Mytilus edulis: one gene and its partner. The protein of the gene in region 2 interacts with the protein of the main gene of each other region in a pairwise test. Links are inferred from orthologs where the notes say so. Each region holds a gene or a part of one and is shown on either strand. Other genes may lie near its edges. The genes, in order: LIM domain transcription factor LMO4.1-like and mothers against decapentaplegic homolog 4-like.

Evidence for each region.
Region 1: the proteins of mothers against decapentaplegic homolog 4-like (region 2) and LIM domain transcription factor LMO4.1-like interact in binary tests that used the Homo sapiens proteins (3 or more experiments, as listed by UniProt). The link is inferred for Mytilus edulis from reciprocal best matches to the Homo sapiens genes SMAD4 and LMO4.

What each region holds. Positions count from the first base shown.
Region 1 is NC_092345.1:48,584,095-48,601,163, forward strand, and holds the start of LIM domain transcription factor LMO4.1-like, read left to right. Parts: upstream 1-10,870; 5' UTR 10,871-11,247; coding exon 11,248-11,257; intron 11,258-11,627; exon of another isoform or gene 11,628-11,647; intron 11,648-12,535; coding exon 12,536-12,803; intron 12,804-17,069. UniProt on the Homo sapiens protein: Transcription cofactor. Plays a role in establishing motor neuron identity, in concert with MNX1, acting, at least in part, to disrupt LDB1-LHX3 complexes thereby negatively modulating interneuron genes in motor neurons.
Region 2 is NC_092354.1:20,858,201-20,874,908, forward strand, and holds the start of mothers against decapentaplegic homolog 4-like, read right to left. Parts: upstream 8,284-16,708; 5' UTR 8,172-8,283; intron 6,357-8,171; 5' UTR 6,325-6,356; coding exon 6,088-6,324; intron 1,567-6,087; coding exon 1,392-1,566; intron 666-1,391; coding exon 636-665; intron 1-635. Other genes in the region: galactoside 2-alpha-L-fucosyltransferase SEC1-like, read left to right, coding at 16,139-16,708. UniProt on the Homo sapiens protein: In muscle physiology, plays a central role in the balance between atrophy and hypertrophy. When recruited by MSTN, promotes atrophy response via phosphorylated SMAD2/4.

The DNA of each region.
Region 1 (17,069 bases), on a different chromosome or scaffold from region 2:
GTAGATCACTTCTATACATTTTTATAATGGTTGACATCACGATTTAGTTGAACATTATGGAATTTTATTTTACTAATGTTTATAGACATGCTCCGATTGTCGTACATTTGAAGTTATTTAAGACAAGTCAATGATTGTATACATATGTACTGCCTTGTTCTACGTTTGCACAAAATCTTCCATAGATTTGAAAACAACAAAAATCCGCCATAGATAAGAAATTACAAAACTCGCCATAGATTAGGGTTTAAAAAAGTATGCCATAGATTTGTAATGGCATGACGTACGTTATATTTACCATAGATTAGGAATCTGCCATAGATTTGGAACCCACCATAGATTTGGAACCCTCCATAGATTTGAGTCCTACATATATATATAGAAAAATTTAAACTTGTGCAGATGACAACACCCTATTCTATGCCGATTTTAATTTTTTACAAGTGTTTTGCAAATTTGGAAAGTGGTGGTATGAAAATTCTGGACTGGTTTGATGAGAGCTAAGCGATAAGACTTCTAAAAGAGGGGCGAAAGAACCCAGATGAACTGTCAAACTCATAATTCAAAAATCAACTGACAACGCCATGGCTAAATTGAAAAAGACACAGACAAATAAGAGTAAACAAGAAACAACATAGAAAACTAAAGACTGAGCAACACGAACCCCACCAAATATTGAGGGTTATTGTAATTGGTTTCATATCTTTAATCGTGATATAATTGTCTTGAACCTTATATGAAATTATAGTCTTTTCAGTGGTTAAATAATATCACATTACAGTATGTTACATTAGATTTTAACTTATCATATATCTGGGATCTGCTTACCCTTAAAGGTGACCCGAGATCCTCTCCCAGTTTTGTAGTGTTAGTGTTGCTCAGTCTTTAATAATAATTAGATACCTATGTTGTGATAGTTTTCTGTGGTGTTAGTGTTGTTCAGTCTTTAATAATAGTTAGATATCTATGTTGTGATAGTTTTCTGTGGTGTTAGTGTTGCTCAGTCTTTGATAATAATTAGATAACTAGGTTGTGATTTGTATATTTTTATTAGTCTTTTTGTTTTAAACTTTTTTTGCCATAGCGTTGTCAGTTTGTTTTTGCCATACGAGTTTGAATAACTCTTTGATATGTTTTGCCTCTCTATGTGAGCATTCCTCACTGTATTCTTAAACCGGTATTGGTGAAAATATGAATAGACATGGTCGTTTGACAATTTATCACTCTTTTACTTTGTCTATTAAAAGTTACTTCCCAGTCACCTGGTATTTTTGAAGTAATAATATAATAAAAAATAATCAAGAAAATCCTATGAGATTTGTTTGTACAGATTGTAATAGCCTGAACGAAGCTCTCAAGTCAAAACATTCGTCGCCATAAGTCAGAGGATTATAAGCAGTATATAGCTGTAACAATATATAAAACTATAAATTCAGGCAACAGTTTTAAACTGCTGTTTAAAAGTCATAAATCGATTAAGAGGAAACAAATAAAGGTTATAAACTAAAACACATCAACTGTAAGACGCACACAACGGAACATCAGAAACACTGAACTGCAACAAAAACAAAAACAAACGCCAACAGACATAGAAACTGACTATTTGATAACAACTGTCATATTCCAGACTTGGTACAGGACATTTAAAGAAAAAATGATGGGTGGAACCCAGTTTTTATAACAATATTACTATTATCATCATTTCATTTATGTTTGGATATAGAATTACAGGTGAACGTAAGAGGTTGTGTCATCAAAACTTTCGTTGTAGTTCTGCAAAAATTGGGAATGAACAATCCCCGGGTTGTCGAAATTAAAACTTTTGTAATCAGTGTTCAGAATAAAATATTGTTACCTGAAATGGTAATTCATGTCAATCCAATGTATATTCAAAGATCAATAGAGCTTTATATGTTTTCTATATGCTAGAATTCGTCTATAAATAGAGTTGTTGAACTTGAACTTGAACTATTTAAGCCAATTGTTATGTAATTTTATCATAGTACCAATTGAAACAAATTCACAAATCAAGACTTTTGAAAAATACTATATATGTCGAACACTTACAATTCAGAACATGACAATTCATAAATTTTTAAACAGGTAATAGGTAACAATGTTCTACTTTCAGCTCGATGCTATTCGTTTCTGTTTTAATGGAAAGGCATGATAAAATAAAAGACAGATTTTTTTTTGATTTATTTATATTAGGGTGGACAGGGGTAAGGGTACATAATCGGTCGGTGTCAGGGGGGGGAGATAAAAATAGGGATATTCTGGAAAAACATTTTTTGTTATATATTTTCGTCTGTGAGTAAGCGGGATGGGGAAGTGGGAATCAGAGAATCAGGGATAACCCTATCCATCACCTCAATATTGCTTATTAAAAAATAAAACTGGCTGACAATTGCGTTTATCAACAACCATGTGCATCAGACATCCGTCACGAATTCCTTATTTACTTAAAACTGTTGCTTACTCAAAAAAAGTAAAATCACAAAAATACTGAACTACGAGGAAAGTTAAAAGTCGAAAGTCCCAAATCAAATGGCAAAATCAAAAGCTCAAAAACATCAAACGAATTGACACCAACTGTCATATTCCTGACTTGGTACAGGCAATGTAAAAATGGGTGGATTAAACCTGTTTTATAGCTAGCTAAACATCTCACTTGTATGACAGTCAAATTCCATTATACTAACAACGATGTGTGAACAAAACAAACAAACACAATATGTAATGATGTCAAAAAAAGGGTTGCAACAGTCAACGTAGTGTTAATATCTTAATCGCTATAAGACAAACAGAAATATAAACAAACCTTCAACATGACACAATGACGGGATGTATAAGTACAGAGCCACGTCACATGTTACCAGGAAAAACAAAAAGACAAGCATACAGAATAAGAATATTTGCAAAAATTAAAGACACCAAACTTGCATCAAGTGTCAAAACGAAGCATAGAGACCGTTTCTGCATGCAGTTGCACTCTTTCAACACAATACACGTATTTATAAATGCATGTCTTTATAGTTATCTCTCTTAAAATTGTAATATACCTTAATTTATTTATTGAAAAATGTTATTGCAATGTCAAAATAAGCGTGCAGTTATTGTTGATAAATATTTAAAAGGTTTGGATATTCCATGGATAAACAGAGAGATAGGTTTTTGTGGGAGCTGTTTCAGATATTCAATCAAATATATGTTGTTAATTTGCGTAGTTTATAACACAAAATTTATAAATAGCTATGCAATTCATTACATATAATTAACAATCACATGTTAAGTGTATGTAGCACACGCCATTCGGACGTCTAGCTTGGTTACCAGATATTGTTTTAATAGTTTTTCTGGCAAGGCGGTATCCACATTTGTATACAGTACCTTAATATAATGATCTCATTAAAGACTTTAATCGTTTTTCATTCAGTAATTTTTTGCTTCATAAAAAAATACAGAGTAACAGACAGTTGACAGGGAATACTAATTGGTAAAAAATTCAAACTTTTAACGGCACAGAAAAAATATGTATTATTTCTTCAGTTTTGAAAATGTTACTTACATGTTGATTTTTTACAATAAATTGGCTAATTTGACAGCTTAAAACCAGATACCTTGTGGAATGTTACTAATGATGTAAAATTTTATAAACTATACCAATTAAATGAGATTTAAGGTAAACAAAATGATTTCTTCAGCGCAGGGACTAATTACTTCGTGTCAATCCTCTTTCCTCTATCTAATTGCCAATTAGACCCAAAGGGCTCAGTGTTAACGATTTCGTGGAGCTCATTATCCCAACAAGAAAGCATCATGCACTAGCTCGGTGTTAATTATTTTATCTCTGGTGGTGTTTTAGTAGTTTTAAATCCAATTTGTATTTGAGCAACTTTTAAATGATTTGGGTGACGAAAAATAAGGCATCATTAAAAACTTGACATGGTTCATCTGTTTTAGTACTAATGATGTTGGTCATCAGGGTTGTTTCAGTTTCTAGAACAGTTTGTTATTATTTAACATAATACCTACCATATATGATTATATAAACATGCATATACAGATGTGTTCATATGTTGTGTCATTGGGTTGCTGTCTCAAGTATGTGTATCCCAAATCTCTTTTTATAAATGCAAAGTTCATATGGTGCCTTTGAGATGTATTTTTTTCTGAATACACCGATCAAACCCGATGTTCTATTTTGAAACAGCACCTGAAGCTATATATAGGTAAAGGATTTTTCCAAATACAGATTGTAACACACCAAAAGGACACACACACAACGTTATATGACAAAATATCACATTTTTAATGATAAAACTCTAATTATTAAAATAAGTGTTTTCTTTAACAGCGGAGCATTTTCCGTATCGGAGTCAAAGAATTTTGAAAATTATCTTTTATGAAAAGATATATATTTAAAGTTATAAAAGATTTTTCCCGATCAGCAGTGACGTCTTGGAGATTTATAAATACTTCCGATACTCTCTTCGATTAAGAAACACTCAAACCATCTGCCCATCCGTCTTTTGTGGCATTTGAGGTATGAAAATGCATAGCCAAGTCCGCACTCACTGAGGCCATTTGACCCAACGCACGAATTGAAATTGTATCCAACATGTTCATGAAAATGAAAATGTGGTATGAATGCCAATGAGACAACTCTCCACAAGCGACCAGAGACACTGGAAGTGGCTCTTGAAGTTTTTTCAATTTTTGATAAACAACGTTAGTTTAAACATATTTATTTATAGTGTGGATTGAAATTCAAGTTATTACAACTTATATGTATCCCTTTCCACTTTGCGGGTGCGAGTGCTGCCTTGTAGCGGCATTAGCCTGTTCTTTAAAGAAATCTACAAGGGTGTATTTTACGTGCAAGAGATACGGTTCTCTCTTAACAATGGTCAGCTATTTATCGTCAACTTTCGACGGAATATCATCGTTTCTCAAGACCATACTCGCAAATGGTGTCAAAGGAGAGGCGAAAAAAAAAACATATATGACGAAGGTCGTTTGACGTCAAGAAATCTCCCAATATACCTGTTTTTTTTTCTTTATTTCAATTGGTTTATTAAAATTAAACGCAAGTTTAAAAGCAGCAGCATAAATTTATTCAAGCATTCTATTGGAGAATACAGTATTTGAAAAGACCTTCTGGGGAGTTTTTGTCATAATTTCACTTTTTTAACAAGTGGTATATGTATTCTTATGTTGTTTTGTTTTTGTTCGTGTATACATGTTTTGGGATGGGTTTTATTTTTTGTGGATATTTTAAAAGCCAAAATTTATAATAAATCAACCGTTTAAGGTGGTTCAAGGCTCTCAACTAAAACCGACAGAAATATCATACTTTGTCTAATGAAACAAAACGTCGTTTGGGGTATGTTCCGGCGCAGTATACTGTGAAGCATCGCCACTGGATATAGGTACGCCGAAGCAAAGAAACAATGATAGCAAACAGGATTTATTCTATCCTCGTACAGTAAAGAGCTATTCGCCGCACAATTTAACCGCTTTATTTATTTACATGAATTTCTCTGAAAACAATACTTATTTTAGTACTAGTAGTTTATTTCGAAATACAGTGTTGTTCAACCTTGAATATATACAACTTTTTTCTATGAAAACGTCAAATGAATAGTTGAAGGATAAATGTCCAAAACTGACGATATTAAGAGAAAAAGAGCAAAATAATTATCATCATCAAGAAAAGCGCGACGGTTCTGTAACCTTTTGTTAGGAGAGGTGAAAGATACCCGAGGGGTGGGGGCAAAATAAACTGACATCGCCATGGCCCAAAAAAAAGACAAATAATAAAACACAAAACACAACGACTGAGCAACACGAATCCCAACAAAACCTGGGGATGATTGCTTCTATTTGCCTGTTAACGAGTGTGTTTATACTGCCAACATCTGCAATGATATTTAATAAAGCGAAAATGTATATTTTTATACCCAAGGTAGTTTACTTGTATTTGTATGTAAAAATAGTTTATATAGTCTCTTAATTAAAGAGTTGCTCATGTTGTCAAATTTGGGTTTTTTTTAATAGTTGGAAATCATACTTCATATCCTTACTTTTGTAAAAAGATATACAGTGTATGTCAAAATGTGAAAGGGATTTTGTTTAAAAGACCTAATATCCAAATAATTTCAATAAAAAAATCCCCTCAAGCCGGTTCTAAGGGCCGTCTTAGACTTGAAGTGAGGTGAAAGTTTTTTTGTTTTTTTTTATTTTGGTGTTGAAGGCCTCACTGTGTGGTTTTGAGATGAAGAACAGCAATAAAAGTGCTATTTCTTTACTTTTTGTGTGTATTTTTTCGTGATGGGCATGAACTGATTTTGTGTCATGCATGGATACTCCATCATCTTTGTTTTTCTATTCTAATAAACGGAATCAGAAATTTACCATAAAGGGGTATTGACGTAGTTATCTTTGTTAATCTATTTAGAAATAAGTTATTTAAAATTACGAAGAACAACCCTGACACATGTTTGCTCGATGACGTAAGTATCCCAAAAACTAGTGTGCGAAATACCGTGTCTTAATTATATACTAAATATAATCAAAGTACTGAAGTACTGAACATCGGATGGCTGCAAGTTCTTGTGGATGGTCAGAAGCACTTGTCTCAGAAAGTAAATCACATATACCTAAAAGTGAGGTTACTAATAGTGTACAGAGATATATATTTTTCTTAGTCAAGTTCGTTCGTGGATGATGAATAAATGACAGGGAAGTCAACCTCGCCGTAATAACTATGATTGTAGTGATACAAATCAGAATACTCTGGTTTGTTGATATATATTATATTAATATTTGTATATAACAGTTACATGCATATATATTTTTCATCTACTTGTTTATCGTTCTGTTCTCCTATTCTAATAATAGTGCAGTGCAAGTGCATGGTTGACTCTCTTCTGTAATTATTAGGTTTTTCAAATATATGTCTAATGACAAAATATTTTCATATTATAAATTTATGTTCTTAAAACAATATTTCTATTAGCATTCATTGAAGAAATGAATTTATAACAAGTGATAAGTAATACTATTTTGCACTCGATAACGTCCGTGTATGTATAGATTGGTTACCAGTCAAAAAAAAAGTCACGTAAGAAGAAATCTCTGTGGCAACAATACATCGGTCATCGCGATGTAAAAATAAGAAGATTTGGTATGATTACCACTGAGACAACTCTTAACCAGGGACCAAATATCATAGCAAGTAACAACTTTATGGTTGTTTTGTCAAGACATGCGTCCCTTCAAATGTTTGATAAATTCGCGATATTGGCATTCTGTATTAATTAAATAGATGAAATAATGAAAATATTACATATTTATCAAAATCAAAGTGTTATAAACAGTTTTAGTAAACAGAAAGACGCGACTGGACAAAATCGTCGTCATCAAGACAAGAACAAAAGAGAAGCAAATGTCAGATTAATTTGTATTTATTTTGTTATTTGTTAATGTCAAACGCCAGTAGAAACCTGTTAATGCAGGAATAGCCAGAATAATTTAAACCAGAAGAAACAGAGTAGAAACAAACATTTAGTTTATCGTTCAGTCCGAGAAACCGCATTCATGCAAAAATCTGGAAAGTTTTTGTTATAAATTCGCATATTGGATATGAATGGTATGTTTTTTTCTTTAATCATAATTTATCAAACAACAATTGAATGTTATATATGAACATTTTGTCTTAAGTGAGAACCGTTATTGATATGAAAGTTATTCATGAAACGCACGGCAACTGGTATCATGCATTTGTGTTTGAAAAAGTCTGAAATTTGTCTGAAATTTCGTAAAGATTGAATGACATGCATTAGATAATCTGGCTTCCAGTGGCAAACACTGCTTTCAGGTCGACAGTAATTATACAGAATGATCAACAAATAAATTTGATTGTACTTATTAGGGGATATTTACTGGGGAAGGTGTTAAAAAGCAAACAATTAAAACACAGCCTTATAAAATACCACTGAAGGGTTTCTGTTAAATTCTGACTTTGTGAAATTGCGCATTTATACATTTGACATTGAGTCCTGCTGTCTGATATTATAGAAACTCAAAGATAAATCATCTGTATAATCCTAGGAATACTTTTGATTCTGAGTAAAAGATAGCTTAGGATTCAGTTGAAATTATGCCCTAGACATTTGCACGAGTCCTGCAGCTGTTCGATGTTATAGAGTCTCAGAAAATCAGCTGTAAACACAGGAATACTTTGGATTCTGAGAAAAAGATAGGATTCAGTTGCAAATCCGATTTTCAAAAAGAAATTCTCTTAGAGACGGAGATGCAAACTCATTTGCTTTCCTTAAAGATGGAGACAGCAGTCAAAACTCATAACAAATGTGCTAAAAAAACACTAGGATTTAGCACCATATTGCTCTAAGGCAACGTGCACACGTCATTGGTTTTCCACATGCTTATTTGAAATACTTGTAACAGACAAAAGCCGACAGCTCCAGTGTTGTATACTTTTAACACAATATCTAGTTTTAAACTCAAACGCGAATCGAAAGTACATCTCAAGCAAGGGTCCTAATTAATAATCACGCCCGAAAATGAAATTTGTTTTAAGGTATATTCACTGCAATCTAATTAAAAACCGATCTCTCGGTTTTTAATTAGATTGAATTCACTGTATACTGCCATCTTGGATTGTACAATAGCAGTACAAAAACGGTCTAGTTCGGGTTTGGGCGATAACTCTGATGCCTAAGTATAAGGTAAATGCTAAGCTCATTGCACTGTAAAGAACTCTTGCAACAATTCTGCTGGTTTCGCAGATGGTCTGGTGCAAGGGAAATTTCTTACCCAATCCAACACACCCTTATTTTCCAGTGGCTATCAAAATATACCGCCTTTTATCCCGATCGACCTACATTGATTATAACATACCTATTGATTTAATTTTTTATTATAAATAGTTGAATTTGAATGAAATATTTGACACTGGACATTTAACAAGCAACAATTAATAAATACATTAACAGAGCTTATTAAAATTTTTAGACAGATTGGAAAATTAGCCGTTAGACTGCTTATTTGTATATATAGAAAAATGGTGATTCATTTACATTATCCAAAATTTCAACAGAAAACCAAACAGTTATATTTTGCGACGTGTGTTGCTTATCAATTTGATTCGGTTATTACCAAGTATCAACACAAGTTGTTTCCGTTTTCCTTCTGTGCACTGGACAAAATTGGCTGTATATGTTGAGAGTAATATATAGGCGTTTGAACAAAAAGAACTTGATTAAATGTATCTTTAAAAATTTCGAAAAATTTTAATTGACCGCCTTTACGTATTACATTTAGTTACATTGCTCTTTCTGCTGGCACTACTTTGTCAATGAAAAATTTATAAGGGGCGCAACTCTTGCAACTGGATCTCTAATTACAGGACCGTGAAATCACGGAATTGACAATTATGCTTTTACTAATTTTTCGTATAGACGAAAAAATATAATGTTTGAAAGTATAAAAACCAAAATGGTAAACTTTGCCTTGATTAGTTGCTCCTTAGTTTTCTTAAAATACAATGATTTATTAACTTAAAATGCAAAGACAAATTTAAATCATGCAAGTACCGAACCACTGGGTTTGTTGGACTTCCGATGATCGAAAGAACACATCCGCAGCAATATCAACATATTGATATGACGGCACGTACATGTATCATCCCTATTGTATGCGCAAGTTTTGAACACCTGTCCAGCTATGTTGGCTGTTCTCAGCGTAACGAACGGTGCTGCAGTACTGAATCTGTCGTCAGCTTTATACATGCATATTCAGAACGAGTAAAAAATAATTCGGTAAGATATACAAATCGTGATTTAGTTTTAAATACTATAGTTTGGCATGGACAGAAATGTTGCTTTGTACAAACTGTCTGTAGGCGTACAAGGAGTCCAACACTGTCTTATAGAATTAACACAATTTTCGCTGCATTTGTTAATCGGGTATTAGCAGATGTTTGAAAGAAAATTATCGTTAAACGGATTATCTGCAATTCAAAATGTCCTATATTTTAGTATATAATTGATATAAAAAAAAACTAACGGTAAAACGATTATAATTTGTAAAGAAAAAAATGATATCTAGGATCCTCAAAAGTTACTTGCAATCCATAAATACGTAATCATTTTATGTTTTGAATTGTTATAATTGATCAATATATTAAGTAATAACATTTATACAATTCATTTTGTTGTCGAGATTGAAAAATAAAACAGATATATATTTTTCAAACATCTGTCGTCAACTTCGATATTTTACAAGAATCTTTGTTTGTTTTTTGGGTTTTTTTTTTGTTTTACAGAACAATTTCTTAAAAATCTTAATATATAGATTCAAAAAAAGACCACAAATGAAATTGTCTGCTATAATTTAATATTGAAAGATACATTTTGGTTTAACATTTGTCGGGTTAGAAGAACATTTTAAGGTATGTGGGTATTTCAATTAAACAGTCAAAGAAAAAAATCCATTTGAGAAGTTTAATTATCTAAAGTTTGACACTAATGCGTTTTAATAATCGTTTTATTACTGTTCCTATTATAATAGCCGATAATTTTAATTATTTCCTCTAGTTTTATTTTGATTAAAATAATTGAATACGATCTTCCTATAAGCCGACCAGTATAACACAAAACTAATTAATAAAAAATGGGTTTCAAGAGAGTCGAGATAAACATCGCGTTTTTAATCAAGTCATAATTACCTATTTTAAAGCAACAATCATTATTAACATTAATAATATTGACAAAATTAAATCTGTCAATATTAAACTGGGCGGAGCCGACGTTATCATTTCTCCATTCATGCTATTGAAACATGCGTTCCGATTGGTTAGCTACAAATGAGAAACGATCCAGTCGTAAATACGGAGTAATTCATAACACACAACCATAAAATAATCTGCTATAGGAATTATGAAGTTGTTTGTTGAGGAACGTTAAACAATACAAATTATTGTGTATGTTTGATTCTTGTATACGCTGGTTTGTTGATTTCAAGCTGTTGATGTAATCCGACCGACTATACATCCATTTAAGTGACGCATATTGGACTATGACAACGAACATTTGATAGTGTACGACTGCACACAATTTAAAAATACATTTTCAAGGATTTTTTTATTAACTGAAACATTTCTTTGTTGTTGTTTGTAATTGAAGCAGACGATATCTAAAACAGACGGAATATACCTTCATCATGACAAATGGTTAGTATAAAGCTGAACACGTGTTTTTATCACATTACTTCCGTTTAGTTTTGTTTATCTTTTCACACTGAACGATAAATCATCCTTAAAATAGTTTATCATATCAAGACTAAATGTCTTAAGAAACACAATCTATGTGTGCACTTTTCACTGAACAAGTCTCGTATGAAACGTCATTTTAAATGTATAAAATTGAAACCTTGATTAATTTCGAATATCCTATTCCATGTAAGGCATAACGGTCTACACAGACGACATACAATCACAAACCGTTTTTCGAAAATGTAGTAACATTTCGGGTCTTGTATCTATTTATAGTATCTTTTCAGTTTTTGCAATGAGCAGGGACTTCAGGATTAATCATGTAAACAAGTCTCATTCTGTAATCAGGTATAATCCTGTAAATTATTCATAATTTAATCTTTTATTTTTGTATGTGTGTATTGATCAATCCCAAGTTAAACAAGAGTATATTTACTTCATTAGTTGTATTATTAGTTTCACTCGAGAACATTGGTGTATAAAAATTGGGTAGTAGATTTAACATTTCAAATAGCAAGGTAAGCAGTAGTAAATCATTCAATATCTCGACATAGGTGTGACTGGAGCACTCTGAATATACTGGAAATGTGGTATACAACCTTGATTCCATAAACAGACGACAGGGTCACCAATGGTGCGGGGACTGCTAACCAACACATCAGATCAAATCAGGTGTTTGGTGGGGTTTGTGTTGCTCATTGTCAGTTTTCTTCGTAGTGTAACTGTTTGCCTCTGACGACGATTCTGTCTTTGTTTGACCTGGTTAATTGCCCCCCTTTGTACCATCTCTTGATAAAAATAAAATGTGGTATGATTGCCAATGAGATAACTCTTCACAAGAGACCAAACAATACAGAAATTTACAACTACAGATCACCGTACAAGTCTTCACGATAAACCTTTAAATCCACAAGCCCGATGCTCAATTTTACGAAAATTTGGACACGTGATTAGTACGAGAACTGCCTCGCACAGCCTTCAACAATGAGCAAAGCCCATACTCCATAATCAGCTATAAAAGGCAGTCCCATTATTGCTTCATTCTCTGGAAGGAGATATAAAAGGCGTTGTTTTTTCATTCTAAACAAGGCAAAGGAAAAGAAGGCTTCTTCATTAAAAGCACAAATCTGAAGTTAGTAGTATGATGCTTCAATTTGTGCTCGACGAACATGACTGAAGCAATTGTAATTGAACATTATACAAGCAACACTCACTCAATTTTTTTTTTCTGTACAGGTACAGAAGACAGTTCTTCAATGATGAATAATGGTGTGATGCAGGACATAGGTAACCTGGCCAACAGCGTGACAGGTGAATCCCCATCATATGGCAAGGCATGTGCAGGTTGTGGTGGCAGAATCTTGGACCGATTCCTGCTACACGCGATGGAAAGATATTGGCACACAGGTTGTTTAAAGTGCTCTTGTTGTCAGACAAATTTAGAACAATTAGGATCGTGTTTTACCAGATCTGGGATGATACTGTGTAAAAATGATTACTTACGGTAGGTACAAATTGAACCCATGTGTATTTACAAAAAGATTATCGTGTAAATGTTAAATAGTTTAATACAGGGTTCGTGGGAAAATGTTTACGTCGTGAAGTTTTTCTCTCACGCATTTGGGTATTTGATAATTTTCTTAGTAGTATAATTAAGAAGATACTTAGTATTATATAGTATACTAAAAAAACCATAGACAGTGGTTTACCAGTGGTGTGGCCAGTCCTCTGTAATCTCTATCAAAATACGCCCCTATAATTGTATTAAAAAGCCAGAATAGAGATATTTGATATTTTTCAGAACTATACTTTTTGAATTATGTATAACAGGGATTCAGTTCCATATCTTTCTTCTTTCCCAATTGATGGTGTTATGCATAACAGATTTTTTTTTCAGGCATACTAAACCTTTGTTAGTATTTTTTTGTGCTTGTATATCTACAATTTTTACTGTATGATCATTTAAGATCGTGGTATATGGATATCTCGCGAACTTCTCTGTCCTCGTTAGGTGGTTAGCTTAACGAATCTTACTAAATTGATCGTTTGGAATATGAGCTATTCTTAATCATTTGTCTGTCCAGTCTAATTATAAACCTCGAGAGAATAAATTAGCTTTCTAATTCATTAGTAAATCAGTTATTTACTGTGGGCACCTAGGATAAATGCATGTTTAGCAAGCACAATTGGTCAATTAAGACTCATTATTGGGTTCAATTACAACACAAGTAATACCAATCCGAAACTTTATTATTACCAAGCTTAACTTAATGAAAAGTAAATTGGTTCCTTTCATAAAGGTAATAATAGCATTTTATACGTTGAGAAATGAAGAATAAATATTAAACGAGCTTATACAAATTTGTTAAAATCTGATATATGTGTCAAAAGAAAAAAGGCGATAATATTAAATCATCTGGAAAAAGAGATTTGTGTAGATTTAAGTTGTTAATATTGATTTTTAGGTAATGTTTGTATTCAAGAAAGTAAATTTGGGAACAAAAAAAGAAAAGCACAGGTGTTCTTAATGAAAAAATGAAAACGTTGATGGACAAAAAAGATATGTGTGAATAAGTCATCTGGTTGATATCAAGTTGTATACAAAACAAAATATTTTATTGAATTTGAGAAAAAACATAACCTAAAAGAACTTGAGCAGTGTAGGAAAGAATTCAACTTTTTGTACGTGCATTCCATAAACTCAGTGTAAACCTGGGACCAATAGACACATGTATTAGTCCCAGTACAAACTGAATAATTAGACAAATGGTTTGTTTACTTCTGTTGTTACTAACTAGCTTTACATGCAATACACAGTAATTAACAAACGTCTGCGGCCTCTGATAAACGACACATTTGAACCAGACTAGAAAGCCTTTCAATTAACTACTGTTCCGTTTGGATAAGTAGAATAAGGTACATTTTAATGAAGTTAAATTGATTTTAGATGCCCCTATCAAAATAAAAATTACAAACGATTTTTTTCTTCTCGACAGATGTCGTATTCGCAGAGTCTAAGTGTATGATAATGGACTCTCTAAAAGTCGGTTTAGTTACGTGATAATACATTTGAACAGACTACTTAATTATCATGTTAGAGTTAAAGTAGTGAGAAACATAAATGGCCAGATAATTAGAAGAAAAACGTGTGTTCCATTTAGGATCGATTTTAATTAATTTTCGAGATTGGATTTGTTCGTCAACAACAAACTAAAAACCAATTTCCAATATCAACAAAGGTTAATTTCAGCAATCAAAATGAAGGAAAAATTAGTTTATTTGAAGTTTCTTGATCTCGCAATTTAAATTAATTACAATTTGCTTTTGCGTGGCGGTATTGCGTTTTTGAATGCAGTCTCGGATATTAAGACCTCTTTTCCAGTATTATCAAAATGTGCAGAGAATTAACTTGTTAAATCTATTATTTCCTTCTTTGGTATGTACTAAAACTCGAAATCCTCTTTTAATACGACGCATTTGAACTAGCGGATGTTTATATATTGAATCCTTTATCACTAAAGAAAATGCATTTTGATGTCCAAACATTGATATGATCAATTAACATTTAATCTCCTGTCTTTCATCCTGGTTTGTACACCTTGTAGGACTTACTCAGTGGTGGATCCAGAAATTTGTATACGGGGGTCATTAACTGCCTTAGAGGGGACCCCGTCATTCGATGATGTCCTAATATCATACAAATTTCTCCCACTAAAGGGGGACCCGTGTCCCCAGTTCCAACCCCCTTAATCTTCCTCTGTTACTTAGTATTAAGTTGAATTTTCATTAAAAATTTGCTCTTGTTGTCCATGTGTCGATCCGTCAATCAATTTAATAACTCTTTCTCTGGCTTGCTCTATCTTTGGGGTACCAATATCATGGTGTGTCATTGTTTGGTGAGTACATATATAATGCCTCGGTATATGTAATCCTAGACATCTTCGTTGTTTGGCATGGGTTGTTACCATATAGGCTAGCGAAGGTGACTCCTAGATTTAACTTCGATTTTTTAATTCTTGGTGTTTTAACACCACTTTTAAGCACTGCTTTTTGGCCATTCCGTAGCGGCCAGTTTTTATTGGAGGGGGGAGCCGGAGTGCCCGGAGGAAACCATCGACCAAACTGACAATCCTAGTCAATTAAGATTGGAGTCGAGTGCATCTGCACGAGCGGGGTTCAAACTCACAACCTCAGTGTTGACCGGCTAGTGATTACAGTAGAAACTTGTTAGACCAGTGGACCACCGATTCCCCATGAATCCTAGATATTATGCCCGGTAGTCTTTTAACTTGAATCGTGTTTACTTTCAAATATTCTGAGACTTATTTGACGTCAGATAGTGTTTTTGGGACTTGCTGTTGTCATAGTCAGAGATTGCTCTGATGTCTAACAGTCTTTTAAAAAAAGTTGTAGGGACCATGACCCACCTCCCCCAAAGGGAAGTCTGTCTAAAAAGTCTATCAAACGTTAAACAATCTCGACAAACTTTCAAGTAACTGTAATTCAAACCGAAAATGTTTCGTAGAATAATGCCTCCGTTCATATCGACGTGAAGTAAGACACTAAAACAGAAAGATATTTCCAGAGTACGTATGAGAAGTAATTTCCTTTACTGTTAATAAAGTATTTTAATATCTCGGGGACCAATAACTTTTTAATAAAACTCTGACAAATCGTGAACAAATAATTTCAAAAGAGGGAAATTAATTAATTTCGGTAGCATTTATTTCATTCGTCTCGCTGTTGGCGAAGGATATTAAATCTACCCTAGTAGTATATATCACTAGTTAAATCAGAGATAAATAATTGATTGTGAGAATTTTGATTAATTGATTGATAACGTCCCTTTATACCACTCTTCAATCTGAAGTAGATGAATGAAAAACGACAGATCACGCGATGTTATATTTATATTCAATAATGATATTACGTTTAAAATATGAATTATAATTGACAACAGACTGCAGATATTAAATTTAATCATCTTTAAATATCTCGAGGTCTCTCAAAGGGAATAACATTAGGTTCATTTCGAACACGTATATAGCTTCATTTCGAGTTCATAACCACCGACTAAAATGAAGTTCAACTATACGAACTAAACGACTATGTTCAGTTTGGAATGCATTTTTTTATTCCCATTACATAAAGCCTTCGTTGTGAAATCTAATTATTAACCGAATAAGTATACATATAAATGAAAGACGGTTCATGGTAAATTCTTACCATAAGCTCTAAAACATATGGCTTACTTTTCTGTTGTATATACGAAGCCACTAGTCTAATGGCTAGACTATTATTTTTCATTGGTCGTGGAAGTCACGAATTTGGATGGACTTAATATCACGAACGACTTGAGAAACGAACCAATTCTCAAAACGACAAATAGTGCGTCCCTTTCAAATTTAGATTCCATGCGATGTATTATTATCTCCCAACAGTTTTTCTAATAATTCTTCAGCTAAAATATTAAAACAGAAATCAATTTGATGTCTATGTGATAACATCCACACCAATCTATTGTTTTAGTGCACTCATGAATATTACAAATATTAATTACTTAAAACATTTGTTATACTTTAATATCGGCGTTACAGTATGTACGTTCTTGACAGTTTTATTGAGATTGCTGTAGGGGTCAATTTTCATAAAAAGCAATGTCAAGTTCCCAGAACGAGTTGTTGACAATGACGGCAATAAAATTATCACAAAAAAATCATAATCCACCATATATCTAACATTGAATGTCAAATAATATAACTAACGGTGG
Region 2 (16,708 bases):
GGTCAAAACTTTAATTTGAAATTAAAATTAGAAAGATCATATCATAGGGAACATGGGTACTAGGTTTCAAGTGGATGTGACTTCAACTTCATCAAAAACTATCTTGACTAAAAACTTTAACCAAAACTTTAACCTGACTTCGCACTATCATTTTCTATGATCAGTGGACCGTGAAATGGGGTCAAAACTTTAATTTGGCATTAAAATTAGAAAGATCATATCATAAGGAACATGTGTACTAAGTTTCAAGTTGATTGGACTTCAACTTCATCAAAAACTACCTTGACCAAAAACTTTAACCTGAACCAGGATGGACGGACGAACAAACAGACGGAGGCACAGACCAGAAAACATAATGCTCCTCTACTATCGTAGGTGGGGCATAAAAATAGAATGCATGTCTATTATCATAGACCTCACATATAGAGTTCAAATGGTTACTGTATCAGTTTCTCACTTGGAATTTTTCATGGTGAGTCCTGGACTCATCACTTTTAGAATTGGTGAGTCCAAGTAGATTTTGAGTCCAGGAAGCATGTAATTTTTTGTGTGTTTGTATGATAAAATACAGTGTATAACTATATGTATACTTATTATATCTTGGTTTCACTCTACACATTCATTGATGTAATTACCTGCATGCTGTATGGTTAATCCTGACAAATCTAAAAATAGAAAAAAACATGATAGTCTAAGTTTTAACAAAATGCAAAAAAAACAACAGATAAAATTCTGTAAATTCAGAAATTACCAAAAAATTATTGTTTTAAAATATCAATTGTTTATATCATATTATGTACTAAAAAAAGTGAGTTAAGAAGAACAGTACATGAATTTAAAAACTAACTTTAATATAATAGTCTTTATGTTTATCTGTACATGTTACCATTTTATTTTTAGTTCTTTTTTTTGTACATAAATAAGGCTGTTAGTTTTCTCCTTTGAATTGTTTTACATTGTCATTTCAGGGTCTTTTAAAGCTGACTATGCCGTATGGGCTTTGCTTATTGTTGAAGGTCGTACGGTGACCTATAGTTGTTAATTTCTGTATTATTTTGGTCTCTTGTGGAGAGTTGTCATACCACATCTTCATTTTTTATATCTATAATTATTGATAACCAACATGACAAAGACTTTGTAATAAAGGTTATCAGATAAGATTTCTAGGAAATTTCAGATAATATAAAGCTTGCAAGTTAAGAAGTTTTCATGATAATACACTGACAGAATGGAAAACCCATTGTATATTTTTAGCTATATAAATGTTGTTTTTCTTAAACATAGTAGCTCTTATTGCTGCTTAGAATTTTCTCTCTTTTTCTAGAACCTTGATTTGAAAGTAACTGTCAAAATCAAACAGAAAGAAGACCTGTGTTGAACCTCATATTTACCTATCCCAGGGGAAACAACTCTCTCATAATGATAAGGATTAACACACACGCTATCCTGCTTCAGGTCAAAAGCATACTGACAGTATTTGACATGCTTCAGTTCATTTTTATGCAAATCAGGCCACCGCCAAATACGCGCATAAATCACATGAGGGAAACCTTTCCTTCCGGCCACCTGTAAAAATACAAAAACATGGTAAGAATAAGCACATTTTTGTTTTACAAATCATTAGGGCTATTCCATTAAAATGTATGTGGGAGGGTAGGAAGGGACTTTCAAAATATCCCTACAACCAAGAACCATTTTTTTGGATAATTTGACGAAACATGCGTAATGGTAACAGATGCACACTGAAAAAAAACATAGCCCACATTCAATATTTTAACTTCCCTTCCTAACCTCCAACATACATTTTAATGGAAAAGCCCATATGTTGTCTTTCATGGATCCCAGGGGAGTAGAGACTACCCTTTGATCATCAATAAAAATGTTTCTCAAGATTGTAAATGTTTTAACCAAAACAAAGTCAGGAACATGCCAGTTGTTATCTTATAGTTCATATCAATGTGTGTTGCATTGTTGTTGGGTTATTTTTGTTGCACTTCAGTGTCGCTGTTGCTTTGTTGTTTTCATTTTATAGTTGATGTTTTTCCCTTGGTTTGAGTTTGTTACCCAGATTTCTTTTCTCTCATTCGATTATATGATCTTTGAACAGCTGTTTACATGGTCTACTACTGTTGCCTTTATTCAACGTAAGCATTCAATCATTAACATTAATTCAATTTTCAGTTTCTTGAATTACAGAATAACACCCCCATTCAAAAATCATGGATCCATCCCTAATCATTCATTCTTTTCAGATTCTCTGTGCCAGGTTGTGTTATATTCTCCCAGTGGCAGATCCAGGGGGGGGGACCCTTCCGGGGGTTGGAACCCCCTTTTTTTTGGCCGATCAATGCATTTGAATGGGAGCATATAGTTGGAACCCCCCCCCCCCCCCCTTACTCTGGGTTGGGAACCCCCCCTTTATAAAATGGCTGGATCTGCGCCTGTCTCCTGTGCATGAATTGTAAATCTGTGGGATTATTCCTGACTAGTATGGAAAAAAAACACACAAAAAGACATAGAAAATTAGTATAGACTGTACAGACAATTTTAATTATATGTAACACATATAAATATAAAAAGTTAAAGCATTCTTTCACCTGATTTTTGGTGCAGCTGGTGTTGCTCATTCTATTATTTAATTATTTTTTTGTGAAGTGTTTTGTGAATTTTGTGTGTATTCTCATCTCCATTTGAAAATGCTGTTTATATATATTTTTTATCTCCTGAATTTAAAGTATGAGACGTCATTATGTGGAGAGTTTTGTATCATTCATGTCATTGGCATTCAAACCATTTATCTTATTTTTTACTATCATAAAGATTAAGATTCTATAATGGAAAATTGAGAATGGAAATGGGGAATGTGTCAAAGAGACAACAACCCGACCATAGAGCAGACAACAGCAGAAGGTCACCTACAGGTCTTCAATGCAGCGAGAAATTCCCGCACCAAAAGGCGTCCTTCAGCTGGCCCCTAAACAAATATATATACTAGTTCAGTGATAATGAATGCCATACTAAAGTCCAAATTGTACACAAGAAACTAAAATTAATCCACGCTGTAAGCGCTGAAGGCAGTTAACCAAAAACCAAGACAACCGTAATTATGAAAGCTGTGGCAAAGTTGACTCAACATTAAACATTCATATATAGTACATTTATGTTTATCTAATGATTTATTTATTAAGGCAAATAATTTATATGTTATCAAGATTTCAAAAGCAATGCATATAGCAATGTATATTTTTTATGGTGAGTCTGCAGTGGTACAAGTTCCCAATGAGTGCAGTTGTTCTACTTGGTAGTTAACCTTGGTTTTTTGGGAAAAAAATTGGTTGCTTATATAGGGAATCACTGAAGCGTATCTGGGAGCGGGCCCATCTTAGGTCAGTCAGAGGGCCCCCACTTATGAAAATTTCTGGATCCCCCAATGGGGGTAGGGTGATCCTAGGGACTTCTCCTACATTTCATTGTATTTGTTATATTGTCCCATACATAAATATATATGGTTTAGGGGTGGGGATCTCATTGGTTTCCAAGTTCTCAAACAGGAGGGGTAGGGTGATCCCAGGGACTCCCCCTATATTTTATTTGGTTTGTTATATTGTCCCATACATGAGTATATATGGTTTAGGGGTGAGGATCTTGATCTTAGGTCAATCAGTGGGCCCTCACTTATGAAAATTTCTGGATCCCCCACTGGGGGTAGGGTGACCCTAGGGACTTCCCCTACATTTGATTTAATTAGTTATATTGGCCCATATATGAATATATATTGTTTTGGTGTGGGGATCTCGACCGTTTCCAAGTTCTCAAACAGGAGGGTTGGGGTGACCACAGGGACTACCCCTATATTTCATTTGATTTGTTATATTGTCCCATACATGAGTATATATGGTTTAGGGGTGAAGATCTTGACCATTTCTAAGTCTCAAACAGGAGGGTGTACAGTGACCCAAGGGACTCCCCTATCTTTCATTTGAATTGTTATATTGTCCCATACATGAATATATATGGTTAAGGGGTGGGATGTTATATTGTCCCATACATGAATATATATGGTTTAGGGTGAGGATCTCGACCATTTTTAAATTCTAAAACAGGAGGGTTGGGTGACCCCCAGCGACTCTTCCTATATCTCATTGATTTTTCATATTGTCACAAACATGAATATATATGGTTAAGGGGTGTGGATCTCGACCGTTTCCAAGTTCTCAAACAGGAGGGGGGTGGGTAACTCCAGGGACTCCCCCTATATTTCATTTTATTTATTATATTGTCCTTTACTTGAATATATGCAGGGGCGGATTCAGTCAGAGGGGGGCGGACGTGCACCGCCCTTAAATTTGCAAAGCATGGGTTGTTCTCAGCTTAATAAAGAATTTTCCGATAATTTTACCTCAAATTTTTTAGCCTCACTCTGCTCGGAGAAAATTTATGTTTGCGCCCCTCCTAACCTAAAATCCTGGATCTGTTCCTCATATGGTTTAGGGGTGGGGAGCTCGACCGTTTCCAAGTTATTAAACAGGAAGGGGTAGAGTGGCCCAAAGGATGCCACCTATATATCTTATGATTTACTTACATTCAGGTATATATAATATAGTTGCATTATTTGTGAAAATAAAGAAAGAAACTTTCAGCTACTTTAATTGACCCTTCAAAATTGAGGGAAAAAAATAATCCTTCGAAATTGCAGTAATATGTTTACACTTTTTAAAAAAGCATCTCACATGCATTATCATCATTTATGACTGATTTAGACTGTGAACATGAACATGTATATTCTTAGATATACTATTCCCAGGTGCTTTTTCTTTCTTTTACATATATCTTTTGATTTACAATTCAAGTGTTTATATTCATTTACCATGCATAGATGTATTTTTTCACCTGTTTGGATTTATTTTGTAATTGATCGCCAAACCCGGAATTACCCTTATCCACTTCCGGAATCGGATCCGATATTGTAAAATTTTGTCTTCACGGCCGCCATTGTTATGTGTTTACAATGTTGTTTTCGTCAATCAGATACGATTTTACTCGAATTTATACAATATTTGTCGGCGATTTTCTGTATAAATCTAGCGGTTGAACAAAATGAACATCGCTGTTATGAATAATGACAAAAATAAGTTTTTAGCTCGTTCAATTGGAGACTGGTGAACATGGTGAAAAGGTTTGCAAAGTTAATTCTTATTTTCTTTCAAGTGGAAGGCGACTACGTCGGGCGTACCTAGAAACTAACTATCCTAGTCGAAATTCCGCTTGCAAAAGTGGAAGGTCGCGGACCTCGGACCACCGCTAATTTGCACACCTGCCTCCAAATTAAAAAGATACGAAAATTTCTTTTTCTAATTTGAAATTGCCGCAAACAGCACGAACAGTTGAACTTATTATATAATAGACTACTGACGTATTGATGACAAACAATATTCCTACGACTTTTGCCATTTGGGAAATCTAAACTGCTTGTCTTAAGATATTTTCGGCGATTAAATATTTCATACAATTGTTCTTTGACATCTGGCCAAAAGCACAAGTCATAATGAACTACACAAGGATTCTTGATAAGCACTACTTCCTATGTGTAACTTCAAAACTTTTAGATAAATCGACGATCATTTAAGGTTTTTCTAGTCATATTTTTTGTAATCCAGAATAAAAAGTATTAAAAAAGTGTTCAATTAGTTATATATAACATAGTACTAGTAGCAAGCTAGATAATGACAATGGCAAGTATTTCAGCATTTATTGGGTAGAACACAAATCTAGGGTGCTCGCATAATGCAGCTTAACTGCATAAAAATAATACAAGACTAACAAAGGCCAGAGGCTCCTGACTTGGGACAGGCGCAAAAATGTGGTGGGGTTAAACATGTTTATGAGATCTTAACCCTCCCCTTATACCTCTAGCCAATGCAGAAAAGTAAACACATAAAAATACACACATTAAAATTCAGTTCAAGAGAAGTTCAAGTCTGATGTCAGAAGATGTAACTAAAGAAAATAAACAAAATGACAATAATACATAAATAACCTTTTTCATGTACATGTATATGTACAAATGTATGTTTACAAATTTTATACCTGAAGTCTCCCATCTAATGTCCGCTGGATTGTCACACATTTAGAAGGATGTGCACCATTGGTTGTAATAGCTGTGATCAAACTGTCCAATTCATCCCTTTTCTCTTTCAGTTTTTTCACCAAGCTTTCAATGGCCCGTTTGGCAAAGCTTTCACTCTCTCCTCCTTGCCTATGGCACATTAGGCTGTGAACAATACTTAAACAGGCATCGGCTGATGTTGGAGCCTGGGACCCCATGGTGGTAATGGGGTTTAACTATGTTCCTTAGTCTGAAAGTTATAAAAGAAAGTTAGATTTGGTAATTTTTCTAACTCTACATGATTTTTAGGCATGAATTTAATGCTGAAAAAAAATAGGGTACAATGTAGGAACATTTTTGTACCAAAGAAAGGCAAATATTTTTTTCAACTGATTTCTTAGCAAGATAACAGTACACTGGCTCTGATTTTAAGAGAATTATTATAAATAATAAATGAAAAAGCTTTACCAAGAGGCAGTATATTTATTATTCAAAGGGACAAACATAAGCTCTATTCATGTATGGCACATTCGGCTGTGAACAATACTAAAACAGGCATCAGCTGATGTTGGAGCCTAGGACCCCATGGGGTTTATCGATGTTCCTTAGTCTGAAAGTTATAAAAGAAAATCAGAAGCTGTCATTTGTTTTAAATTTATGCCTCACAAATATCACATTTGTTTTTTTATTGTTTTTCGTTCATTATTTTGTGTATATAAATCAGGCTGTTAGTTTTCTTATTTGAATTGTTTTACAGTTGTCATTTCAGGGCTTTCATGATAGAATATGGTATGGGTTTACCTAGTGTTGAAAGCAGTATGGTCACTATGGTCACCTACAGGTATAATTGTGATGTCAAAATTTTTATGGAACTTTTGTGATGTTTGGTATTGGTGGACAAATACATGTAGCATTACAGGGTTAAAACTTAAAGACTTTGGCAATGATAGTCCACAGCTTAAATGTTGTAGCCAACATAGATAGTCATATATAAGAAAAGCCGAAATTTGAGTAGCCCAAACCAAATTTTAGGGGCCATTGCTGCTAATTTCATAACCTGAGCAATATTTAAGGTGTATTATACATGTAGATTGAAGCCAACGATAAAATATAGAAAGGACCTCTAGAGTTATTGGTCCATAACACTGGGATAGCAGAAGCATGTCAGAAATCTCATGCATTTAAAAGTTGTCCACTACTTCTACAAATACGCTGCTACCATCAATAAGTTAATTATTTTGCCACTTTTGGATGCACATTTAAAATTTAGACAAGAAATAAGTATTAGTTGATTTGAATTTTTGCTATACACATGATACATGTACATCATATATACAGTGAATTTAAAAACATCTTGGATTTGTTCTAGTTCATCTTATGTAGGGAAGTCTTGAAGCATTCAAGACTACCTGCATTGGTGGCAGTATGAGGTAGGGCAATGAAGTCTGGTATCGTTCTTGGGTAAAAAGATTTCTTCCGCACTCGGTCCTACAAGATGGTACTAAGTATCATGACTGTAAAGGGTTACTGTCTTATCAATTGGTTTTACATGTAACAGAAAAATACAGACATATAATTAAATAACAATAAAACTTTTAAAAGTTTAAAACATGTTTGTTTATTTTTGATAATTCATATTTCTTTTCAATTACCACTTGTTCCTCAAATATTTTTTTAATAAATTTTTATTCCTTTGAATCCATCAATATTTATTTTAATTAATTTATTTTTTTATACAATTCTTTATTTATACTTTCAGAATAATCAACAAGCAGATAATAATTTCCAAATAAACTATGCATCAAATCTATGCCATGTGCATGCTTTGTTTACACCTGAACAAGTAAGAACAAAGAACAGCAGACTTAATACAAAAATTAAAAAATAAAAAAAAATATGGCCTCGTATGTTAATCATGTCCCCACTCCCAGCATACTATGTCATAGCCAGACAGACTGGTGCCAGCTTCTGGAGGCCATTTGCCGGCTCCATTTTACTTAATCAATGAAACTTCAGGTGTGGAAATTATCTCCTCATTAACATCAGGTTATTATTGATTACTTACCCGAGCAACGATCAATTGTTAAGTCATCATTTTTAATTCATGCTTAATTTATTTATTTTTTCATGGCGCGAGTAAAATCAAAATAAACTAATACGCCTGCGCTGATGTCGTTAAGTTTACTTCCGTTTTAATTTGTTGTTATTTGAAGGGGCACCTTGCAGGGGAAATGGGGGGCATCATTTTCATCGTATATTTTTAATCGCTTCCTCGAATTATTCAAACCAAACCATTTACAAATATTCGCTGATGTCGTTAAGTTTACTTCCGTTTTAAATTGTTTATTCGAAGGGGCACATTGCAGAGAGAAAGGGGGCCATTATTTTTTTTATATTTATAATCAATTCCTCCAATGGTTCAAACCAAAAGTTAAACATGTACAAATATTTTTAAAGTCATTTATCATACACAATACAAAAATAGCATTGCAATATTAAAAGCAAAAGTATAAAGAATAAAGTCATAAAATATACCAAACTGACATTAAACAGTTAAAGGATCTTAAAGGAGCATGCACTTGCTACGATATATACATGATATATACGATGATAGTATTAAAAAAAACAATTAACACTAAAATATGTGATTTTTTTCAGTTTTGTTCAATCACTAATGAAAGTTAAATAGTGAAATAATATTTCGCTTCTACCAGTATGGTTCAAATTGGCAAAATAATAAGATACATGATATATACGATGATAGTATTAAAAAAAACAATTAACACTAAAATATGTGATTTTTTTTCAGTTTTGTTCAATCACTAAAGAAATATTGACTGATTCACTTGCAAGTATAACTCGATAATTCGACCTTATTGAATCGTTGTATTAATAGGAACTTCAATTTAACCCTTAACTAATTTTCTAATTTTTAAGGGTTCCGTCGAACCCAGTGTCTCGCCTACTTTTGCTGGTAGTCGCAAGTTCAACAAAAAATTCGAAAAACTGTTTTCCTCTAGATATTTTAGTCTATCTTTTAATTGTAAGAGTTCTGTTCAAGTTTGGTAAAAATCAAGGAAATCTATATATATATAGTTTGTGAATCTAATAAATGTTTTTAAAACTTTAACTGCAGACTATGTAATGTAAAATGGAAGAAAAACTAAGTCCATTTTTAAGTAAAGTATGGAAAAACATTTTTAACAAGAACAAAATTTTAACCAAATTTCCTTCTAGATACTAGCATTTGATCATAAACAAGTTTCTGTTCAAGTTTGGTACAAATCCAGGATAGTTTAAGAAAGTATTAAAATTTTAAAAACATTAACCACAGAGTGAATGTAATGTTTCCTGGCAGAAAAACTAAGTCTATCTATAAGTAAAATACGGAATTCAAAATAGGATGATTTTTTTTACAGAATTTACTTTTGGATACTGTGTTATGAATATTAACAAAGTCTATCCACAAGTTCGGTAGAAATCCAGGATAGTTTAAGAAAGTTATTAAAATTTCAAAAACCGCTAACCATGCACACCGTGAATATGTGACTCGACGACGACAACGCCGACGACGGAATGTAGGTTCGCTTCATGTTTCGCTTTTTCGACAGTTGTCGAAGGCTCGACAAAGAGAACAGAAGACAAACAATAGAAAACAAAACACAACATAGAGAACTATAACGCATCTAGCAACACGAACCCAACCAAAACTTAGGTGATCTCAGCTTCTCCGGAAGGGTAATTTAGCAGATCCTATTCCACATGTGGCAGCCGTCGTGTTGCTCATGTTAATACAAACACAGTAAGAATTAATACGGAGGGTGACCTTCTTGAAAAGGGTACGGGATTGTAGTAACGATAGTATGAACTATCATATATTCAGAGTCCGCCGCCCGTTAATTGATATATTAACGGAAAAAATAGTAAGGTGGGATGTGAAGGCAAATCATAACCACCATCGACCATGGTTGAAAAGGAGGTACTATTTATTCTTGCTAGTCGTTTTTAGTAAATTATAAGCGGATTTAGTTTAAACAATATTTTATTTTTCATAAACTGCACGAAATATAATTATACAAAATAGAGATACTGGGCAGTGGCATTCGAAAACAAGAAAAAATCCGTCTCCCTTAAATTAAAAAAAAATGACAAAATTAGGAACAAACTGTATAAGAAACTCGTATAATATAATTTTCAAGCGGATTAAGGGCAGTGGCGGATCCAGAAATATTTATAAGTGGGGGCCCACTGACTGCCTAAGAGGGGGGGCCGCTCCAGTCACGCTTCAGTGATTCCCTATATAAGCAACCAAACATTTTCTCAAAAAAGGGGGGTTCCCCTGCCCTCCCCCTAAATCCGTCTCTGTATGGGATGTGATAATGTAGCCCACTACTTATGGAGCCGGCTACATATGAGGTTAATGCATAGGCCATTTACATATTTACATGTCCTTCTTCTAAAATTGCCTGCTTTACGACCCCCTCCCCCCCCCCCCACACACACACTATTTTCTGAGTCCAGGATATGCATCCGCAAGTATATATAATATAAATACTTTCAAAAAGTCTTCATTAAGGCTATATACATGATATATATGGTTTATATAATGTTCCAAAGTGTCGCAAATTCATTTGATCAAGCCCTACTTTGGTATACATGACCTTTCATGACGTACGAGTACATAGACATATCTATATTATACTACAATGTATAATGTATATTTTTAATAAAGCCTTACCAAATTAAAGCCAGTCTGTTACCGCAGCCATTCAATTACTCAGTACAAGAATGTAAAATTCAAATCCAATCTCATTGTTCCTCTTCAAGAGCAATAGTTTAAAAATTGATAGGGAAGTACTGATATCTGAATAAATGATATTTTCGCACATTTAGCAGATTTTTTATCACACATCCGATTAATCCCATGAATCTTTGCACGTGACAAAATAAATCTCGTTAAAAAAAAAAACGTTGAAAATATATGAAAGTCTACATGGGTTAACAGGATAGCGGATAATGGCTGGCAAAATCTACAGAAAAAAATCATGGACCAAGATATTAGGAAAAGAGAAAAAAGGGGCCAAAAAATAAAGAAATGAAAAAAGTGTAATAATATAAAGAGTAGAGAAAAATGGTCAATGTGTATTAGAATATAGAAAAATTACATAAAAATTACAAGACTAAAGAAATGAAGATAAGAGTGTTTTTCCTGATTACAAATCTTTGAATTTTTCGAAAAACTAAGGATTTTCTCATCCCAGGCATAAATTACCTTAACCGTATTTGGCACAACTTTTTGGAATTTTGGATCTTCAATGCTCTTCAACTTTGTACTTGTTTGGCTTTTTAAATATTTTGATATGATCGTCACTGATGAGTCTTATGTAGACGAAACGCGCGTCTGGCGTACTAAATTATAATCCTGGTACCTTTGATAACTATATATCCGATTGCACGTGTTCAAATAATCAGGATTTTTCCAAATTAAAAAAACAACAACACCAGAATCAAACTTGACGTTGATCTACGCAACAATAGCTATAGGTCACACTACTACCGCCTGAAACGATGAACAAACCCCATACTGCATGTTCATTAAGCTTATACTAACCCTTGTTATCAAGTATATGTATGGTCGTATGTGTTTTGTAGTTTAAACGTGAGAGTTGTGTACCTTTGTATAATGATGCATATTTATCATGTGATGTAATCTGTCTCTTTGAAGTAAACGTGCCATGGCAATATATGTGTTTTTATTGCTCTAAGCAGATATAACTGTAGCGGGCATGGGGAGGTAAACATATGTACCCTCATGTACGTAATATGGTGGAGGACCCTGGCACCCGGTCCTTATCCTTGGACAGTTAACAATTGTGTGGAAACACAACATCAGAGTAAACTGTAAAAACAAAACAGTTGCATAGGTTTTGACACGGTAGAGATCATAAATCACGAAACACAACCATGAACACAAAACGAATTTTGTTGTATCCAGCTGCATTCTATTTTTGCCTCTCTAAAGTCAGGGGCAGTAATTCACTGTTTGCGTTTGATTTCTGCATGCCATATATATATATCGACGTATTATAAATCGGGCCGACGGGTTTCTTATTTGCTTTCATTACACAAGTTATTGTCCTTAAACAAGAGTTATGTTTGTTTTAATTTTTTTGTGGACCCGCTTTGGACCTTAATCCCTAAACAGTCAAGAAAATCATCAATGCCGATCTTCCTTTTGTGGTATGGAACCTTAATTGTGGTACGATGTCATAAAATCAGTACACTTATCCACAAGTTATGTTATCAGGAATTCAAACCAAGCAATTCATGTCAGGCTTATTTGTGAGGAAAATACCACATGTCATGAAGGTATGACAGCGCTTAGCAATACTTGCATTGGGACTTTGATGATCGTTGCTTCAAATATCAGTTTGTGCACCCTGAGACTGCTATATCAGTGTTCTATGTGATCTACCGATGCAGACTTAATAATTAGCGGTTTTGTACTAACATGAGCAACAAGACAGTTTTTGATGTGGTTCCTGTTACTCAGTCTCAGTTAGTTTAATATGTTGTGTTTTGTGTATTGTATGTTTTTCTTTCTTTTTAGCAATGTGGAATGAATGCATGTCCCTTTGGTATCCTTTGTCTCTCATTTTATGTACATGTGTGTATATATATTCCAGCTACACGACGTGCAGAGAGAACAATATGCAGCAGTAGTTTGACTTTGGAATTTTTAAAATGGCGGCCGTTACCATGGAAACAGCAAAAACACAAAAAATATCAAAATGCTCCAAATTCATTGGAATTTAAAACAGAAATATCTGTTGTCATGCAAAAATCTGCATTCACTGATGGACAATTTCGAAATGGCTGCTGTTAAGTGTCAATTTGCAGACCAGGGTGACATCCGGCCTCTATTGCAATGGCAATTCTAGTTTCTATTTGTTATTCTTGCCTTTGTGGGACATTATATAAAGATGACAGCCAGAAACATGCACTTCAACTTCGTACAACACCTTTAGATTACCATATCCGATTGTCTGGATGGGGGGGGGGGGGGGTCTGTTATTCTGTAAACATTTAATTTTCACCCCTTTTTTCTCTTATCTTCAAAAAATTAACCCCTTTTTCTCTAATTTTAAAAAAATTAGTCCACGCATTTCTCTAATCTTCATTTTTTGCCCGTTATTCTCTAATCTTCATTTTCTAAGGGCATTATTCTTTAATCATTTAACCCCATTCAAAACCTCATATCCGCCGTTGAAATGCTCAGTAATAAATTTTTAAACAGTTTGAAAATGAACAGAAAATGCGGATTTTATCTCTCCGTGAAGGGTTTCTTTTTTAGAGGTTTCGGTCTGGTTTAATTTTGTAAGGAGACCAGATAATGAGATTGTATCAGCTGAAAATTATTAGACCGTTGATCATGAACTCGACTAAACATAAACATTAAACATTGTCCTACATACAAAGTAAGGAAATAAAAGAACACAATCCCCAAAGCGTAAAACTGCCATAGTCTTGTCTTGTATGAGGATCCTGTCTTTCAAAGGCACACCTCTGTCTCTGGTTTCAAGTTCAGAATTAAAAAGGGTGTGTTTTTTACTATTTAACCAGAGACAGTCTATACTTATACATGTAGTACTAATAGACTGATTAACACCCTTGTGATTTCGTGTTTTTAAACATGTTAAACCTGGGATTTCAGGATTTTGTGTTTTTAAGTCCGAGATTTCGGGATCAGGACCCCTCCTACCCCCCCTCATATATAGCACAGGCACTTGTTTCTATCCATACGAAGGTTGACTATCCATATAAATAGAAGCTTCTATTTATATGGATAGTCGACCTTCGTATGGATAGAAACAAGTGCCTGTGATATATAGTCCGAATAATTATGGCGTCTGGCAAGGCTATTATAATTTTTTTCTGTGACGCCATGCCCTTCCCAGAAAAAAAAATAGCCTTGTCAGACGTCATTACTATACACCTTATTGCTATTTGTCCGCCATTACTGGATATCACACAGGTTCCCGTAAAATTTTGATGTCACAATACAAAATATCTGACGCCACAATGGAAAAGTGATTGTTGTATGCGTCAAAAGTTCAAGCGGCCGGGTCAGCCGGGATTAGCGATAAGGTGTATTTGGACTAGCCTGTATTATACTATAGGCTCTATCACACAGGCACTTGTTTCTATCCATACGAAGGTCGACTATCCATATAAATAGTTATATGGATAGTCAACCTTCGTATGGATAGAAACAAGTGCCTGTGCTCTATCATCCACAAAAATATTTGTGATAAGTTACAGAGCAATAGTAGTTTTAAGACTAAATCCAAAATGTTCAAAAGCAACACAACCTTTTTTTACCCATCAACATATTTAATACACAGAATCTTTTTAGTTCAAATGTTTCTAATGATTGTGGCATCACTAAATAGATTTGATAAATACATGAGGGGGGATAGGACCTTTATCGGGACTCCGGGATCGGGTGTTTTTAAGCTCGGGATTGACCCTTTCAGGATCCAGGAATTCTTTTTCTCGGATTTCGGGACCTCAGGATTTCGTATTTTTAAGCCCAGGATTTCGGGAATTCGTGTTTTTAAGCCCGGGATTTCGGGATCAGGACCCCTCCTATCCCCCCTCATACATGTATACAATTGTGACTTGGAATGGAGAGTTGTCTTATTGGCACTGATGTCACATCTTCCTATATCTATATACATGTAATATTGTTAATTTTATATTGTAAGGTGCACAGATCTGTCATTAAACCTTCACCTCATTTTTTAAAGTTTATCATGTTTATAGGCAATTTTAATTTTCATATAGTAGTTAGCACAAAAATTAGGAGACATGATATTATTGCTAATGCCAGTAATGGTAGAATTCTGGGTCATCTTAATTATAATCTATAGAATTTTCAATAATTTGTCTAAATGCAGTTTTAATCGTGCTTTTTTTCAAAAATATAATAACATTTAAAGTATGGGTCACTGAACTTTGTTTCACACTACAGGTTGTGCAAAATTGTCACGTATAAAAGATTATGCATGGAAAATACAATTTCGTGTGATAAAAATAAAACAAAACCATAGAATCTAAAGATAAAATATGAAAATATAGCTCTTATATCATGCTTTCAGATAAGTTCTTAATTTGAATAATTTGCTCATTATTCTGTATTCTGTAAACTCCACTTGCCTATTCCTCATTAAATGTATGCACACTATAAATCATGTATAGGTATGCAACATATATATATATACCATTGTATAAAATGTATCATACAAAAGATTTAACAACACAAAAGAAAATATTCTTATCACATTCAAAACTTACAAAGCACAAAATCATAGAAAGTGTTCATGAGCTGCACTCAGATCTGTTAATTGTGTCTTTTTGTGTCGGGATGTATAAGTACCCGGCCACGTCCACTTGTATTTTTTGTCTATCTGATGAGTTAAGCCTTTTTCAACTGATTTTTATAGTTCGTTCTTATGTTGTACTGTTATACCACTGTCCCAGGTTAGGGGGAGGGTTGGGATCCCGCTAACATGTTTAACCCCGCCACATTATTTATGTATGTGCCTGTCCCAATTCAGGAGCCTGTAATTCAGTGGTTGTCGTTTGTTTATGTGTTACATATTTGTTTTTAGTTCATATTTTTACATAAATAAGGTCGTTAGTTTTCTCGTTTGAATTGTTTTACATTGTCTTATCGGGGCCTTTTATAGCTGACTATGCGTTATGGGCTTTGCTCATTGTTGAAGGCCGTACAGTGACCTATAGTTGTTAATGTTTGTGTCATTTTGGTCTTTTGTGAATAGTTGTCTCATTGGCAATCATACCACATCTTCTTTTTTATATTGAAGGTGTATGAACTATCAAAAGCAGTATAAAAAAATTTGCAACCCTGATTACACATAAATAACTAATACTGTACAGTTTTAACATCTTTTCATTGCTTTTACACATTGATTTTTCTTTTATAGGACTTGACTATTGCCATGGAGTATGGAGTTAATCAAGAAAAGATGTAGTAGACCGGTTATTTGTCTCGCCTGTCTCAGTCTGATAATTACATACTTAGTGTTGTCATGGTTACAAACAGTGCCCTCTATACTACATATTCATTTTGTGAGACAGATTTGGGACAAGGAATATTCTAGATGTCAGGTTCATATCAACAGCATTGCTAATTTGCCGATGACTAAACAACAGCCTGTTTATTTAACTGTAGCACTCTCAGGTCGTCTTGGCAACTGGTTATTTGCATATGCATCACTCGTTGGAATTGCTAGGAAAAATAGAGCGCTATTATACATCAGTCCAGAATCCGTCAAAAAAGTTTCTTTAGGAAATATTTTTAATATAAAAAGTGTGCGAGCAGTTAATGCATTATGTAGGCAACCAATATATGAAGATTTACCATGTGCATATGATAAGAAAATGGAGTCACTTCCTGTTTCGAACATAACAATTCATGGCTATTTGCAATCTTGGAAATATTTCAAACATGTTGAAAAGCAAGTTCGAGAAGAATTTACATTCAAAAAGACCATCATGTCAAATGCTGAACAAATA